Lytechinus pictus: one gene and its partner. The protein of the gene in region 2 purifies or fractionates together with the protein of the main gene of each other region. This does not show direct contact. Links are inferred from orthologs where the notes say so. Each region holds a gene or a part of one and is shown on either strand. Other genes may lie near its edges.

What was found. Proteins that work in one complex are often made in the same cells at the same time.
Region 1: the proteins of cell division control protein 45 homolog (region 2) and DNA replication licensing factor mcm5-like purify together in Drosophila melanogaster (affinity purification with western blotting; 4 studies listed by BioGRID, with this or other methods). This does not show direct contact. The link is inferred for Lytechinus pictus from reciprocal best matches to the Drosophila melanogaster genes Cdc45 and Mcm5.

Annotation. Positions count from the first base shown.
Region 1 is NC_087251.1:6,433,688-6,441,171, reverse strand, and holds the start of DNA replication licensing factor mcm5-like, read right to left. Parts: upstream 3,025-7,484; 5' UTR 2,858-3,024; coding exon 2,703-2,857; intron 1-2,702. Other genes in the region: atypical kinase COQ8B, mitochondrial-like, read left to right, coding at 5,707-5,898, 6,548-6,886. UniProt on the Drosophila melanogaster protein: Acts as a component of the Mcm2-7 complex (Mcm complex) which is the putative replicative helicase essential for 'once per cell cycle' DNA replication initiation and elongation in eukaryotic cells.
Region 2 is NC_087246.1:10,233,098-10,240,616, forward strand, and holds the start of cell division control protein 45 homolog, read right to left. Parts: upstream 3,017-7,519; 5' UTR 2,785-3,016; coding exon 2,734-2,784; intron 1-2,733.

The sequences.
Region 1 (7,484 bases), on a different chromosome or scaffold from region 2:
ATTCTTTAATCCTTCCTTATTTACAATACTGTAATATTGCATGGGGAGGGACAGGTTCAACAAAACTTGAACCCTTGCACAAACTTCAGAAAAAGGCTTTACGAATTTGTACATCTTCTCATTTCCTTGCCCATTCTCAACCAATATTCTTTAGACTTAAAACGTTGAATATTTTTGATATTCATACTTACCAAACTGCTATTCTAATGTTCAAACTAAAAAAAACAATATTACCTAGCAATATCTCTTCATTTTTTCAACAAAATAAGCATATTCATTCTTACAATACCCGACAAAGTTCAAAATTACACTATTCAAAAGTAGAAAATGATCGCTCACTGAGATTAATCCGTCATCAAGGTCCTCGGATATGGAATACTCTGAATGTGAATGTTACATCATGCAGCTATTTAAACTCTTTTAAACAAAAATGTAAATCAAGCTTGCTATCCACTTATAGTCACTAAATATATATATTTTTTTTTCTCTCTCTAATAATTGGATAATATGTATGTACATTGTGCTTTACCGGTATTTGATGCGTCTCACTCTTTGTGGCTGGTTCACTTGAAACTTTTTTTTTTTTTTTTTTTTTTTTTTTTTTTTCTTTTCATTTACAAATTTTAGAGTGACTTGTTCCAGGCACAATTGACTAGGCACAAATACCTCCTCCCCCCCCCCCATGCCTGTGTGATTGACTGTGTGGTGTGGATGTGTTTGTTTTGTTTTTGCTTTGTTACTCTGTTTAAACGCTTTTTTTATCATCTTCTTTGTGTACACAATCTACTGAATTTTTGTTCCTGGGGGGAACATTTAACCCACAAGCTTCGCTTTTTAGTTCCCCCCTTTTTCCTCATCTATTATATTATTGTACATGGATTATGAAATGCATTTTTTTTAATGCTCTCTTTATGTATGTAAATATTTAATGACTAGAAATGCATTTATAATGTTATGTGTTGTAAATATGAATTTTATTTTTTTTACTGATATGGAAATAAAGACATTGAATTGAATTGAATTGAATTGAACATAAAAATATGCCCGAAATTCAAGTTTTCGAGCGCTCTGGTGAATACAAAAAATTACTCCCAAGTTACTAATGAAAAATAAATTGCAACTGTATGGAAATTAGTATATTTGGTCACAAAAGTGATATTTTAATGATTTTTTAAAGGGATGGTCCAGCCTGGAGATATTTATATCTCAATAAATAGATTAAAATTCACAGAGCAAAATGCTGAAAATTTGATTAAAATCGGATAACAAATATCGAAGTAATTGAATTTTGAAAGATTTGCATTATTCCTGTGAAACAGTTCTAGGCAAGTCTTCATGAATATTCATTAGGTGGGCTGATGATGTCATATCCCCACTTGTTCTTTTGTATTTATTATTAGCCTGAGGACTTCATGATGATATTTTTAAATATTTTGACATATAGATTCTATGTCAAAATATTAAATAATATTTTGACATATATATAGGTCTAGATCTATGTCAAAATATCAAAAAATATCATCACGAAGTCCTCAATTCTATTTTATTATATATTAGGTTTATTCAAAATGTTTCTACCAAGAACTAAAATAATTCGATTGACAACTGATTTAGTGCATTAGTTATTTATTGCCGCAACTTATTTCATCATAATGGAGACGCATCATTTACACATGTATGAAAAAATGAAACAATTATGATTTCATGTAATACATGTAAAACAAAAGAAAAAGGAAAGTGGGGAAGTGACATCATCAGCCCACTTAATGAATATTCATGACGATGTGCGTATATAGTCTATTACTGTTTTCACAAAATATTGTCTTATTGATTAAACTTTAAATTCAATAACTTCAGTATTTGTTATCCATTTTTGATGAAATTTTCAGCAATTTGCTCTGTGAATTTTGGAAAGAGTTCCATGGTTCCATATGCACCCCCCACCAAAAATAAAAAAAGATTGTTGAGACTTCCGGTTTGTTCCTATCATTTCTTTACTGTTGCTTTAAATACCTTAGTCATGTTAGTTGGGACTCGAACTCACCTCGTTTTATCTGCAGTCAAGACCTTTCCCGCTATGCTAGCGAGAAGCGCTGATACCGGAAGGGGTATTTTTAACGATTATCAGCCGGTAGTTCGACTCGTCTTGACTCACAGGACACAGACCCTGCCGGTCCCTGGCTTTACTTACTTAGTTACCGACTAAATAAAACTAGATTATAGATAGATCCTGCTCGAAATTTGACGGTATAAAGCCATATTTTGGTATTTATTTCCACTCCCCCATCATATATGTTCTAGGCCTAGGCCTATATTAGGGCTAGATATATTATTCTGAACCTTCTCCTATTTTTTGTTTTCAATTTTAGTGGGGCCTGGGGTGCATATATTATGGAACTCTTACCTGAATTTTACTCTATTTATTTCACATATTAATATTTTACTTCAGCCCGGACCATTCCCTTTAAAGGCTTTAAATTGTGTGCTGTGTACAGCATTGGCATACACCATACTCCATAGTCCTACCTGTACTAGATTCCCCACAGGCAGGATGGTAATGAATCCTTGAGTGGATCTAGCTTTTACCTTTAAAACCTTTAAAATGTTTACCTTTTACCTTTAAAATTTAAATGTCCCAAAAATATGCACAGACACACCGCACCGCCAGCCGCGCTAGCAGTGCAGTGCAGTCTCTTTCTTACCGGTATTTGTAGGAAAAGTTTGCATCATGAAACTTTCGAAGAAAGTCCTTGAAACGACGTTGCAAGGCGGCTCGATTAATCCTGCCATCATCAGGTTGATCTTCTGATCCAAAATTGTCAGAGAAAAAGATTCCTGGATCATCAAATCCTGCCATTTTGGAGCACAATCAGTCAGAGAGCACGTATTCTTTTAGATCAGAATCCAAATCTTTGTTATGAACTTCGCGGGAATAATAAACCACGTGAACTAAAGCTGGCGCGAAACTACGACTTCCGGGATTTGAAGACACAACTCGTTTCTTTGTAATAATTTGCGTTTCTCGTAGTTAAAGTGAAGGAGCATAAAACATAGTTTGTCTTTAACTTCTGCTAGGATTGATACATTATCAAGAAGGGAATAATTGTTCCGTCCAAAGAAAAATAAATACTTTTTCAATAGAAAAATAGACATTCACATAGTCTCGACAAAGAGGAGATACAACTCATTCTAATCTTTGACAACTTAGTCCTAGTTTTTGAAGAATAATCCTCAGTATATTCCTTGCTTTTAATTTGAGATAGACCCATCTATTCTTTGTTAGAATCCATTTAATATAATTACCTTCTAATGAAATGGATTTTTCCATTTTGTTTTCATAATTTTCACAAAATTGTTCATTACATCACCACTCCGCATCGCATGTTCGTGGGGGTTGTGGTTTTGTGTGCTGGAGAGATCAAGACTGAGCAACGTAATCTGATATGTTTAGCTGCCTTCTCCGCTGGCCCAGCAAATTACGACACGCCGGTGGAAATTTTGGAAGTGGAACTCGCAGGTGAGTCCGTTAAACGTTATGCAATACAATTAAGGGCAAGTCCACCCCAGGGAAAAGTTGATTTGAATCAATAGAGAAAAATCAAACAAGGATAACACTGAAAATTTCATCAAAATCGAATGTAAAAAAAGAAAGTGACATTTTCAGCTGTGTCTGAATCCTCTCTGCCTCTGCCTGGTGCATGGTCACATGGTGTAGATATAAAGTTAGACTTAACTTTTAGTTAGAGGGATATTTATAGGGATGTGCCCCAAAAATTGAAGTGTCGTAATTCTAGTTTTAAATAGTTTAACTGGAATAAGCTTTGAAACACGAGTAAAATGACACCAAGAATAAAGATCATGAAATTGGACCAGGGGTTGCCGAGATAAAAGAGGAAGCAAATTGCCTAAAAGTAAAAAGGTAAACTAAAAGCAAAAATTTTTGCTCGCTCACAACTTTTTCGTAATTTTACACGATAAACCATATTGAACCCTCTAAAATTGTTTTGGCTCATTACGCCACTGTCTTTTGTATTAACATGAAATTATGTTTATTCTATAGATGTATTCCAAGAACTAAAAAAGTTGGATTGACAAATTTAGTATAGTCACGTATTGTATTACCGGACACTATTATGATTCCGGACGCGCATATTACTGCGTTCTAAAACAAATTCGTACCGTAAGACTTCCGTAATTCGATTTCACAGAGCAATACATAGAACAAGATTGCAATAAAAACAAGGCAAAAAATCCAACTTTTACCTAATTATCTCTCAAAATGACAGAAAATGCTTAAAATATCATATAACATAGTTTTGTATTAACAATTGATATATTTTCTAACGGAAATATGGGCCTGATTTTGCAGAATTTCAATCTCGTCCACTCCTTCGATCGAATGATGAGGTGTGGTGAATTGTGGGTGATCATCGATGGCTAGTTCTCAAGGTACCCGTGCGCGAGGTATACCGTGAGTAGAGCCGTCGATCGGCAGCGCATCGATAGAACTTGATAAGCGTCACGATACGAACGCGAGCATATTATTATTGGAAAGTGCCATGGAACATGCAGCTAACAAGACAAAATAAAATAAGTTATCGAACACGAATTTATTACCAACATCTGCTCAGATTCGATATAAAAAAGCAAATAATACTTAGAATTTACTCATGATATGATATAAGAAGAAAAAAATCACACAAATTTGCTCTTACATCATTATAATCAAGGATATCTTTACCCGTCCGGCGCGCGTCCGGAATCATGATGTAATTTGTCGCGCACGAAAATAATTGTTTTTCGTGGAGGGGTATGCGGCAACTGCGATGCAAAGAAAATGGTTGGTAAATATAAAATAATTTTATCATATTTATAATTTTCATAATATTTGGAATAGCAAGTGTGAATTTTTCTTGATTGTATTTCCTCTAGTTGTCATTTTTAAAGCACTGAAATAAAGGTGTCCGGCAATAGGATACACTGCCATACATTAGGTATATTGATGACACTTATTTTATTTTAAGCGAGGCATATAACACACTCATGTACATAAAACATGAAATATTATGGTTTCATGTAATTTGGGGTTGTGACATCAGCAGCCAACCTAATGAATATTTAAGTCGTGATTTAAATTTGCCAACCCTGTTACAAAGTGCTAGAGAATCAAACACAAAATTAACAAATTTGAGAAAGTGTTCAAATTCATGTTTATTTCAACATGAGCATCCAGACATCCTACCAGCTGTGAAATATGTGTAATTTGAGCAGAATTATATGTTATTTCAAGTCTAAATTATGCAGTACTAATTATAACAGTTTGAATGCACTATTGCACAAAGCATGTATGAAAAAGGCATGTATATGCAGACGCATTTACGCACAAAGGGTCTATTTGTTTGGACCATAATAGGTCCATGTTTGGACTAAGGATCAAGAACGAAAAGAAATACTTGAATATTTAGGCCTGTTCAAATGTGCGGAGGAATCTATAGGTGGTTTTGAATTGTATGGTACCTGAATATCTTCTGCGCTTAAATCTTTATGCCTGTCTCTCAACCCCAATTTGTGGTTACATAGTTCCACATGACATAAACAGTTATTGAATCTCTTGATCATGTTGTTACTATTTGCCAACTTTTATTCATTGTCATCGATCATACTTCAGGAAATAACTGAGGAGATTGTATTGAGTTGATAATCACCATGTCTGGATCAAGATTTGGTGATGCCGCCAAGGCTGCTAATGGATTTGGACTTTTGGTCAAGAGCTTTGTGGATGGTCAATGCAAAGAAGTAGGCCAGATCTGGGCTAACTCTAGTTTAAGGTCAGCTGTCCAAGGTATCCAGACCAAGACAGAAGAGAGGGTCAGTGATGCATGGATGAATTTAAACAAGGTAGGGATTTTTTAAAAGATATCTTTTTGAAATTATTTATCTATTTCTTCTTGAAGAGACAATTAAGTGACTGTTTTTACTTTTGATGATACCTGTTTTTTCATGAAATTTTGAACATGCTATTCAAAACAAAGGTCTATATGGAAGATGGTTGGTATTAGCAATGTATCTCATATTGTCCTGTGCAGTCAATTTTTTCATAGAAATTGTTTGAATATTATATGAAATCTTGTCTTATCAGGATATTGAACTGCTGAAGAAATTGCCTGATATGCGTTAGAGTAAATTTTAGAATTAATGGCTTATGCTGTAAGATATTGGAATCGCCAAAAAAAAAAGATTAAAAAAATTATCTTCTCGGCCTTGAGTCACATACAGTGCATAGAAACACATGTTGGAACTACACAATTTTCCCCCCAAAATCTTAGCTGTCTTTTTTCTTATCTTATGTGACTGACGGTCTGACCATCTAATCCAACAATAAGTTCGCATTAGACACATTTATGACAGTATTCTTAGTAGATAATATTTTAAAACAAATTTGAAAACTTACAATTATTCTCAATGCCCTTTTAATTTCTTGACTGCCACTCCCCATTATTTATTCTAACATATGTCTTTCAAAATTCTATTATTTTCCAATTTATAGGCTGAGAAAAATGATGATTGGGGTGACTCCATTGTGACAAGTGATCCTGAAGAATGGGGTGATACCTTTGCTGAGTCAGCTTCTCAGTTTGCTGCTGAAGACTTGACAGCAGCTCATTCTTCCAGAGAAAATGATCCACAGGGAACAGCACCCTCTAGAGGTTACCATACTTTAGCAAGTACTGCTGCTGCTCGGTACCGGTATAGGGTACACAGTGACATTTCTCGCAGATACTTTAACTCCGGAGCTGTTTCAGCTGACGACATCGGGAAGACAAAAAGTTCAGGGCCAAAGATACCACCTCGTAAGCCTGCTGCTAGACCAAGAATAAAACCAACAGTAAGTTGTAAAAATGTTGAATTTGGTAACCTGGCCTTGAGAAGATATTCCTTGGCACCTTGGAAGGGTTTGGCTTGTGCCAGGGTATCAGTATATCCTTTTTTAATAACTCATTTGCACCCCTAAGGGGGTGTTGCAAGAAAATATTTGCAATCAATCCCAAATATTCTGTTGCAATTTTACAGTTGATTGATCACTTTTAACTTTAGAAAATCAGATTAAAGTACTTGTTTCATGGAGCAGATTAGCAATCTATCGCAAATTTGCAATTAATTGCACGGCATATACTTGATTTCACGAACGAAAATAGATCTGCAATTGATCGCAAGTTTCTTGCAACGCCCCATTAGGAAAATCTTATCAAAGAACCGCTTGCTGTGTTCAGGAATGACTTAATTTTGTGTCCTTGACTTAGATTACTTTCTTGCAATTATAACCAATATAATGTGTACATCTTCTAACTGCATCTGGTACATCTGATGTGGGCTCATCGTGGTCTAGTGGTTCTGACTCTTGCCTTTCAAACAGAGGGTCGTGGGTTTGAATCCTAGCCATGGCGTCTTTTCCTTCAGCAAGAAATTTATCCACACTGTGCTGC
Region 2 (7,519 bases):
ATATTTTCGTAGTACGTGTAGGCCAACACAGTCCGCGATGGTAGCGGTGTGTTGGTGTCTGTAGTCGGTACAGGCCAACACTGCCCTCGATGCCAACGATCTATATCTGTGTTCTGTAGTATGTAGACCAACAGTGTCCGCGATGCCAACGATGTGTATATTTCCGTAGTATGTGTAGACCAACATTGCCCGCGATGCCAACGATGTGTTGGTGTCTGTAGTACAGGCCAACATTGCCCTCGATGCCAACGATGCGATCATATCTGTAGTTGCCTATGTAAACCAACATTGCCCACCATGGCAACGATGTGTTGGTGTCTGTAGTACATGCCAACAGTGCCCGTGATGCCAACGATGCGATCATATCTGTAGTTTCCTATGTAGACCAACATTGCCCGCGATGCCAACGATGTGTTGGTGTCTGTACTGTAGAGTACAGGCTAACATTGCCCTCGATGCCAACGATGTGAATGTATCTTTAGTAGGTATAGGCCAACAGCGCCCGCGATGCCAACGATGTGTTGGTGCCTGTAGTAGATGCCAACAGTGCCAACGATGCCAACAATGTAAATGTATCTTTAGTACGTATAGGCCAACAGCGCCGGCCAGGATGCCAACGATGTGTTGGTGTCTGTAGTATAGGCCAACCTTGCCCGCGATGCCAACGATGTGAATGTATCTTTTGTATGTATAGGCCAACAGCGCCCGCGATGCCAACGATGTGTTGGTGCCTGTAGTAGATGCCAACAGTGCCAACGATGCCAACAATGTAAATGTATCTTTAGTACGTATAGGCCAACAGCGCCGGCCAGGATGCCAACGATGTGTTGGTGTCTGTAGTACAGGCCAACCTTGCCATCGATGCCAACGATGTGAATGTATCTTTAGTAAGTATAGGCCAACTTTGCCGGCGATGCCAACGATGTGAACGTATGTTTAGTATGTATATACCAACAGCGCCCGCGATGCCAACGATGTGTTGGTGCCTGTAGTAGATGCCAACAGTGCCAACGATGTGAATGTATCTTACATAGGCCAACATTGCCGGCGATGCCAACGATGTGAATATGCCTGTAGTAGAGGCCAACATTGCCGGCGATGCCAACGATGTGAATATGCCTGTAGTAGAGGCCAACATTGCCGGCGATGCCAACGATGTGAATGTATCTTTAGTAAGTATAGGCCAACTTTGCCGGCGATGCCAACGATGTGAATGTATGTTTAGTATGTATATACCAACAGCGCCCGCGATGCCAACGATGTGTTGGTGCCTGTAGTAGATGCCAACAGTGCCAACGATGTGAATGTATCTTACATAGGCCAACATTGCCGGCGATGCCAACGATGTGAATATGCCTGTTGTAGAGGCCAACATTGCCGGCGATGCCAACGATGTGAATATAACCCTAACCCTAACCCTAACCCTAACCCTAACCCTAACCCTAAACCCTAACCCTAACCCTAAACCCTAACCCTAACCCTAACCCTAACCCTAACCCTAACCCTAAACCCTAACCCTAACCCTAACCCTAACCCTAACCCTAAACCCTAACCCCTAACCCTAACCCTAAACCCTAACCCTAACCCTAACCCTAACCCTAAACCCTAACCCTAACCCTAACCCTAACCCTAACCCTAACCCTAACCCTAATTGAATTCAATTCCCATTGAATTCCTTCAATGGGAATTAAAACTTTATTTCATATTTTAATGAAGAAAAAATGAAAATATTTCATGTATAAAAAATACAAAAGAAATAGAGAGTGAATGACATCGATCACCTCACTAACCAGGATATGCATATATTAAACTGTTTTGTGAAACCATACTTTGAAACGCTTGCCAACGATGTTTTGAATGTTGCATTGCACGGTCACATCGTTGGTCGTTGGCTAGCGGCGCACCCAACGATGTATAGCAATAGCTAGTAGTAGTAGGTAATTTAAAAGAGTGTATTAATCTTGTACTATTGCACCTTCACATCGTGGGTCGTTGGTTAGCCAACGATGTTTTAAATGTTACATGGCACCGTCACATCGTTGGTCGTTGGCTAGCGATGTTTTGAATATTATATTGCACCGTCCGTACCGTCACAACGTGGGTCGTTGGCTAGCAGCGCACCCAACGATGTTTAATTATAGCTCTAGTAGTAGTCAAAGGGCAAAGGTCATTACGTATGGCCTGGATGCATTGCTCGTACGTACCGTCATACGTACGTACGTACGTAGTATAGTAGTAGTAGTAGTACCAGTAATGCATGTACGTATATAATAGTATGGATATATCTAGGCTATATACCATTGAATTAGTATATAGCTATAGGTCTTGACATCGTTGTGTTGGCTGACCAACGATTGGGTAGTGAGCAGTGTCGGGGTATTCTGCAGTTAAGCCAAAAACAGTTTTAAATCGCGATCTATAAAACGCTAGTTCACTATACGTTGGCTGTAGGTACGGGGCCCCATCCCCTTCAGTCTATGTATGGTGAGTGGAGCCAACGTAGTTCAGCGGAACAACCAAAATACAGAGACTGAAGCTTTTGGTCTAGTATGTGAGTGACTGTGACTGAAAAAATAACACTGCAAAAAAAAATAACTCTTACTCTTAGACTTAGTAACAAACATCGATTTGAGCGGGTGGGACCGTACTTGGAAAGACGGCGATGAAATTAAATACAAACGAATAGAATTCATATCAAGTTCACACAATGAAAACACAGTAGAAAATACTTACATGATGTAGAATAACGTCATAGAATTGTGTTTTAATGTCTGTAATGAACATAATGTTGCTGACTTGGAAGTAAATATAATAAATCTGATGACAATAGGCTCCAATACTATTTCATTTTTCCCGCGGATGAGGGTCAAAAGGTAATATGCTGAAGTTAGAAGTAATTTCGGCACGGGGATACTTTATAAAATTGCCAATTTAAAAATTTAGAAGAAACGAAATGTATTCTGTACTTAGAAGAGGTATTGATCTTGATGTAACTCATATGCAGTGGCGTAGCTATACATACGGCGCGGGCGGGGGGGGGGGGGGGGGGGCAGGTGGGCACGTGCCCCCCCCCCCCCTGAAAAAAATTGGCTGAGCAAAAAAAGGAGAGAAAGAACGAAAAAAAGAAGGGAAAGATAGAAGAAAAAAGAGGGGGAAATGAAGAGGAGGGAGACAAGTGAATAAAAAAGGTGAGGGGAAGACTTTAAAAAAAAATTCATGTCACGATATAAAATTTTCATTCACGTTCTCCTTGTCTGACGTTCGATGAGATTCATATCTTGCTCAATATAGGTTAATATGGAGCTTAACGTATTAATTAATTTAATTTTTAAACACTTTAAACGATATAGATGAAAAAGGCATGAAAAATATACTTTACCGATGTTTAATTGGGTTGAACACGATAAAAATGGTCAAAATGGCAGCCAAACTATAAAATATTTACAAACGAACGTCAACAATCACGAATGTGATATCGATATTGCTTTCGATATTATACGATCTGCTCCATATGCGAACGAAACCGAAGATAAACGATACTAGTTATACTAGTACTAGTACTAGTTATAATCGCGATATATCGATTCGAGACATTAAGTTAATAACGATAATGACGTCATTCAAGATGGCAACTTGCAAGAAAAACCGTCAGGTCAGGTGAAAATGTCTTAGATGACAGATTTCTCAATCATCCAGAGGATTTTTTTCAATAACTCCGGCCCAAGGTATGCAATTACTAATTATTATTTATATTTCCCTGATAATGGAAACCATGAAACTTTCAATTTTGCTTAAAAAACAGGGAACAACTGCAGAATACCCGGACACTGCGTTACCTTATCGTTGGAGAGCCAACGCACAACGATGTACTTAAGCTATCAAATCAGAAAATCAGCTATAATAAATAATTGAATGATTTACAACTTACAAGTATTTTTTGAATAGATTCTAAGTGTTCAGACTGCACTGTAACGCTAACGATGCGAGCGCGCGCGATTAGTATGTAGACCAACAGTGTCCACGATGCCAACGATGTGTATATTTTCGTAGTACGTGTAGGCCAACACAGTCCGCGATGCTAGCGGTGCGTTGGTGTCCGTAGTACAGGCCAACACTGCCCGCGATGCCAACGATCTATATATATATCTGTGTGCATCTGTAGTATGTAGGCCGACATTGCCCGCGATGCCAACGATGTGTATATTTTCGTAGTACGTGTAGGCCAACACAGTCCGCGATGGTAGCGGTGTGTTGGTGTCTGTAGTCGGTACAGGCCAACACTGCCCTCGATGCCAACGATCTATATCTGTGTTCTGTAGTATGTAGACCAACAGTGTCCGCGATGCCAACGATGTGTATATTTCCGTAGTATGTGTAGACCAACATTGCCCGCGATGCCAACGATGTGTTGGTGTCTGTAGTACAGGCCAACATTGCCCTCGATGCCAACGATGCGATCATATCTGTAGTTGCCTATGTAAACCAACATTGCCCACCATGGCAACGATGTGTTGGTGTCTGTAGTACATGCCAACAGTGCCCGTGATGCCAACGATGCGATCATATCTGTAGTTTCCTATGTAGACCAACATTGCCCGCGATGCCAACGATGTGTTGGTGTCTGTACTGTAGAGTACAGGCTAACATTGCCCTCGATGCCAACGATGTGAATGTATCTTTAGTAGGTATAGGCCAACAGCGCCCGCGATGCCAACGATGTGTTGGTGCCTGTAGTAGATGCCAACAGTGCCAACGATGCCAACAATGTAAATGTATCTTTAGTACGTATAGGCCAACAGCGCCGGCCAGGATGCCAACGATGTGTTGGTGTCTGTAGTATAGGCCAACCTTGCCCGCGATGCCAACGATGTGAATGTATCTTTTGTATGTATAGGCCAACAGCGCCCGCGATGCCAACGATGTGTTGGTGCCTGTAGTAGATGCCAACAGTGCCAACGATGCCAACAATGTAAATGTATCTTTAGTACGTATAGGCCAACAGCGCCGGCCAGGATGCCAACGATGTGTTGGTGTCTGTAGTACAGGCCAACCTTGCCATTGATGCCAACGATGTGAATGTATCTTTAGTAAGTATAGGCCAACTTTGCCGGCGATGCCAACGATGTGAACGTATGTTTAGTATGTATATACCAACAGCGCCCGCGATGCCAACGATGTGTTGGTGCCTGTAGTAGATGCCAACAGTGCCAACGATGTGAATGTATCTTACATAGGCCAACATTGCCGGCGATGCCAACGATGTGAATATGCCTGTAGTAGAGGCCAACATTGCCGGCGATGCCAACGATGTGAATATGCCTGTAGTAGAGGCCAACATTGCCGGCGATGCCAACGATGTGAATGTATCTTTAGTAAGTATAGGCCAACTTTGCCGGCGATGCCAACGATGTGAATGTATGTTTAGTATGTATATACCAACAGCGCCCGCGATGCCAACGATGTGTTGGTGCCTGTAGTAGATGCCAACAGTGCCAACGATGTGAATGTATCTTACATAGGCCAACATTGCCGGCGATGCCAACGATGTGAATATGCCTGTTGTAGAGGCCAACATTGCCGGCGATGCCAACGATGTGAATATAACCCTAACCCTAACCCTAACCCTAACCCTAACCCTAACCCTAAACCCTAACCCTAACCCTAAACCCTAACCCTAACCCTAACCCTAACCCTAACCCTAACCCTAAACCCTAACCCTAACCCTAACCCTAACCCTAACCCTAAACCCTAACCCTAACCCTAAACCCTAACCCTAACCCTAACCCTAACCCTAACCCTAAACCCTAACCCTAACCCTAACCCTAACCCTAACCCTAACCCTAATTGAATTCAATTCCCATTGAATTCCTTCAATGGGAATTAAAACTTTATTTCATATTTTAATGAAGAAAAAATGAAAATATTTCATGTATAAAAAATACAAAAGAAATAGAGAGTGAATGACATCGATCACCTCACTAACCAGGATATGCATATATTAAACTGTTTTGTGAAACCATACTTTGAAACGCTTGCCAACGATGTTTTGAATGTTGCATTGCACGGTCACATCGTTGGTCGTTGGCTAGCGGCGCACCCAACGATGTATAGCAATAGCTAGTAGTAGTAGGTAATTTAAAAGAGTGTATTAATCTTGTACTATTGCACCTTCACATCGTGGGTCGTTGGTTAGCCAACGATGTTTTAAATGTTACATGGCACCGTCACATCGTTGGTCGTTGGCTAGCGATGTTTTGAATATTATATTGCACCGTCCGTACCGTCACAACGTGGGTCGTTGGCTAGCAGCGCACCCAACGATGTTTAATTATAGCTCTAGTAGTAGTCAAAGGGCAAAGGTCATTACGTATGGCCTGGATGCATTGCTCGTACGTACCGTCATACGTACGTACGTACGTAGTATAGTAGTAGTAGTAGTACCAGTAATGCATGTACGTATATAATAGTATGGATATATCTAGGCTATATACCATTGAATTAGTATATAGCTATAGGTCTTGACATCGTTGTGTTGGCTGACCAACGATTGGGTAGTGAGCAGTGTCGGGGTATTCTGCAGTTAAGCCAAAAACAGTTTTAAATCGCGATCTATAAAACGCTAGTTCACTATACGTTGGCTGTAGGTACGGGGCCCCATCCCCTTCAGTCTATGTATGGTGAGTGGAGCCAACGTAGTTCAGCGGAACAACCAAAATACAGAGACTGAAGCTTTTGGTCTAGTATGTGAGTGACTGTGACTGAAAAAATAACACTGCAAAAAAAAATAACTCTTACTCTTAGACTTAGTAACAAACATCGATTTGAGCGGGTGGGACCGTACTTGGAAAGACGGCGATGAAATTAAATACAAACGAATAGAATTCATATCAAGTTCACACAATGAAAACACAGTAGAAAATACTTACATGATGTAGAATAACGTCATAGAATTGTGTTTTAATGTCTGTAATGAACATAATGTTGCTGACTTGGAAGTAAATATAATAAATCTGATGACAATAGGCTCCAATACTATTTCATTTTTCCCGCGGATGAGGGTCAAAAGGTAATATGCTGAAGTTAGAAGTAATTTCGGCACGGGGATACTTTATAAAATTGCCAATTTAAAAATTTAGAAGAAACGAAATGTATTCTGTACTTAGAAGAGGTATTGATCTTGATGTAACTCATATGCAGTGGCGTAGCTATACATACGGCGCGGGCGGGGGGGGGGGGGCAGGTGGGCACGTGCCCCCCCCCCCCTGAAAAAAATTGGCTGAGCAAAAAAAGGAGAGAAAGAACGAAAAAAAGAAGGGAAAGATAGAAGAAAAAAGAGGGGGAAATGAAGAGGAGGGAGACAAGTGAATAAAAAAGGTGAGGGGAAGACTTTAAAAAAAAATTCATGTCACGATATAAAATTTTCATTCACGTTCTCCTTGTCTGACGTTCGATGAGATTCATATCTTGCTCAATATAGGTTAATATGGAGCTTAACGTATTAATTTTTGAAAGAATATAC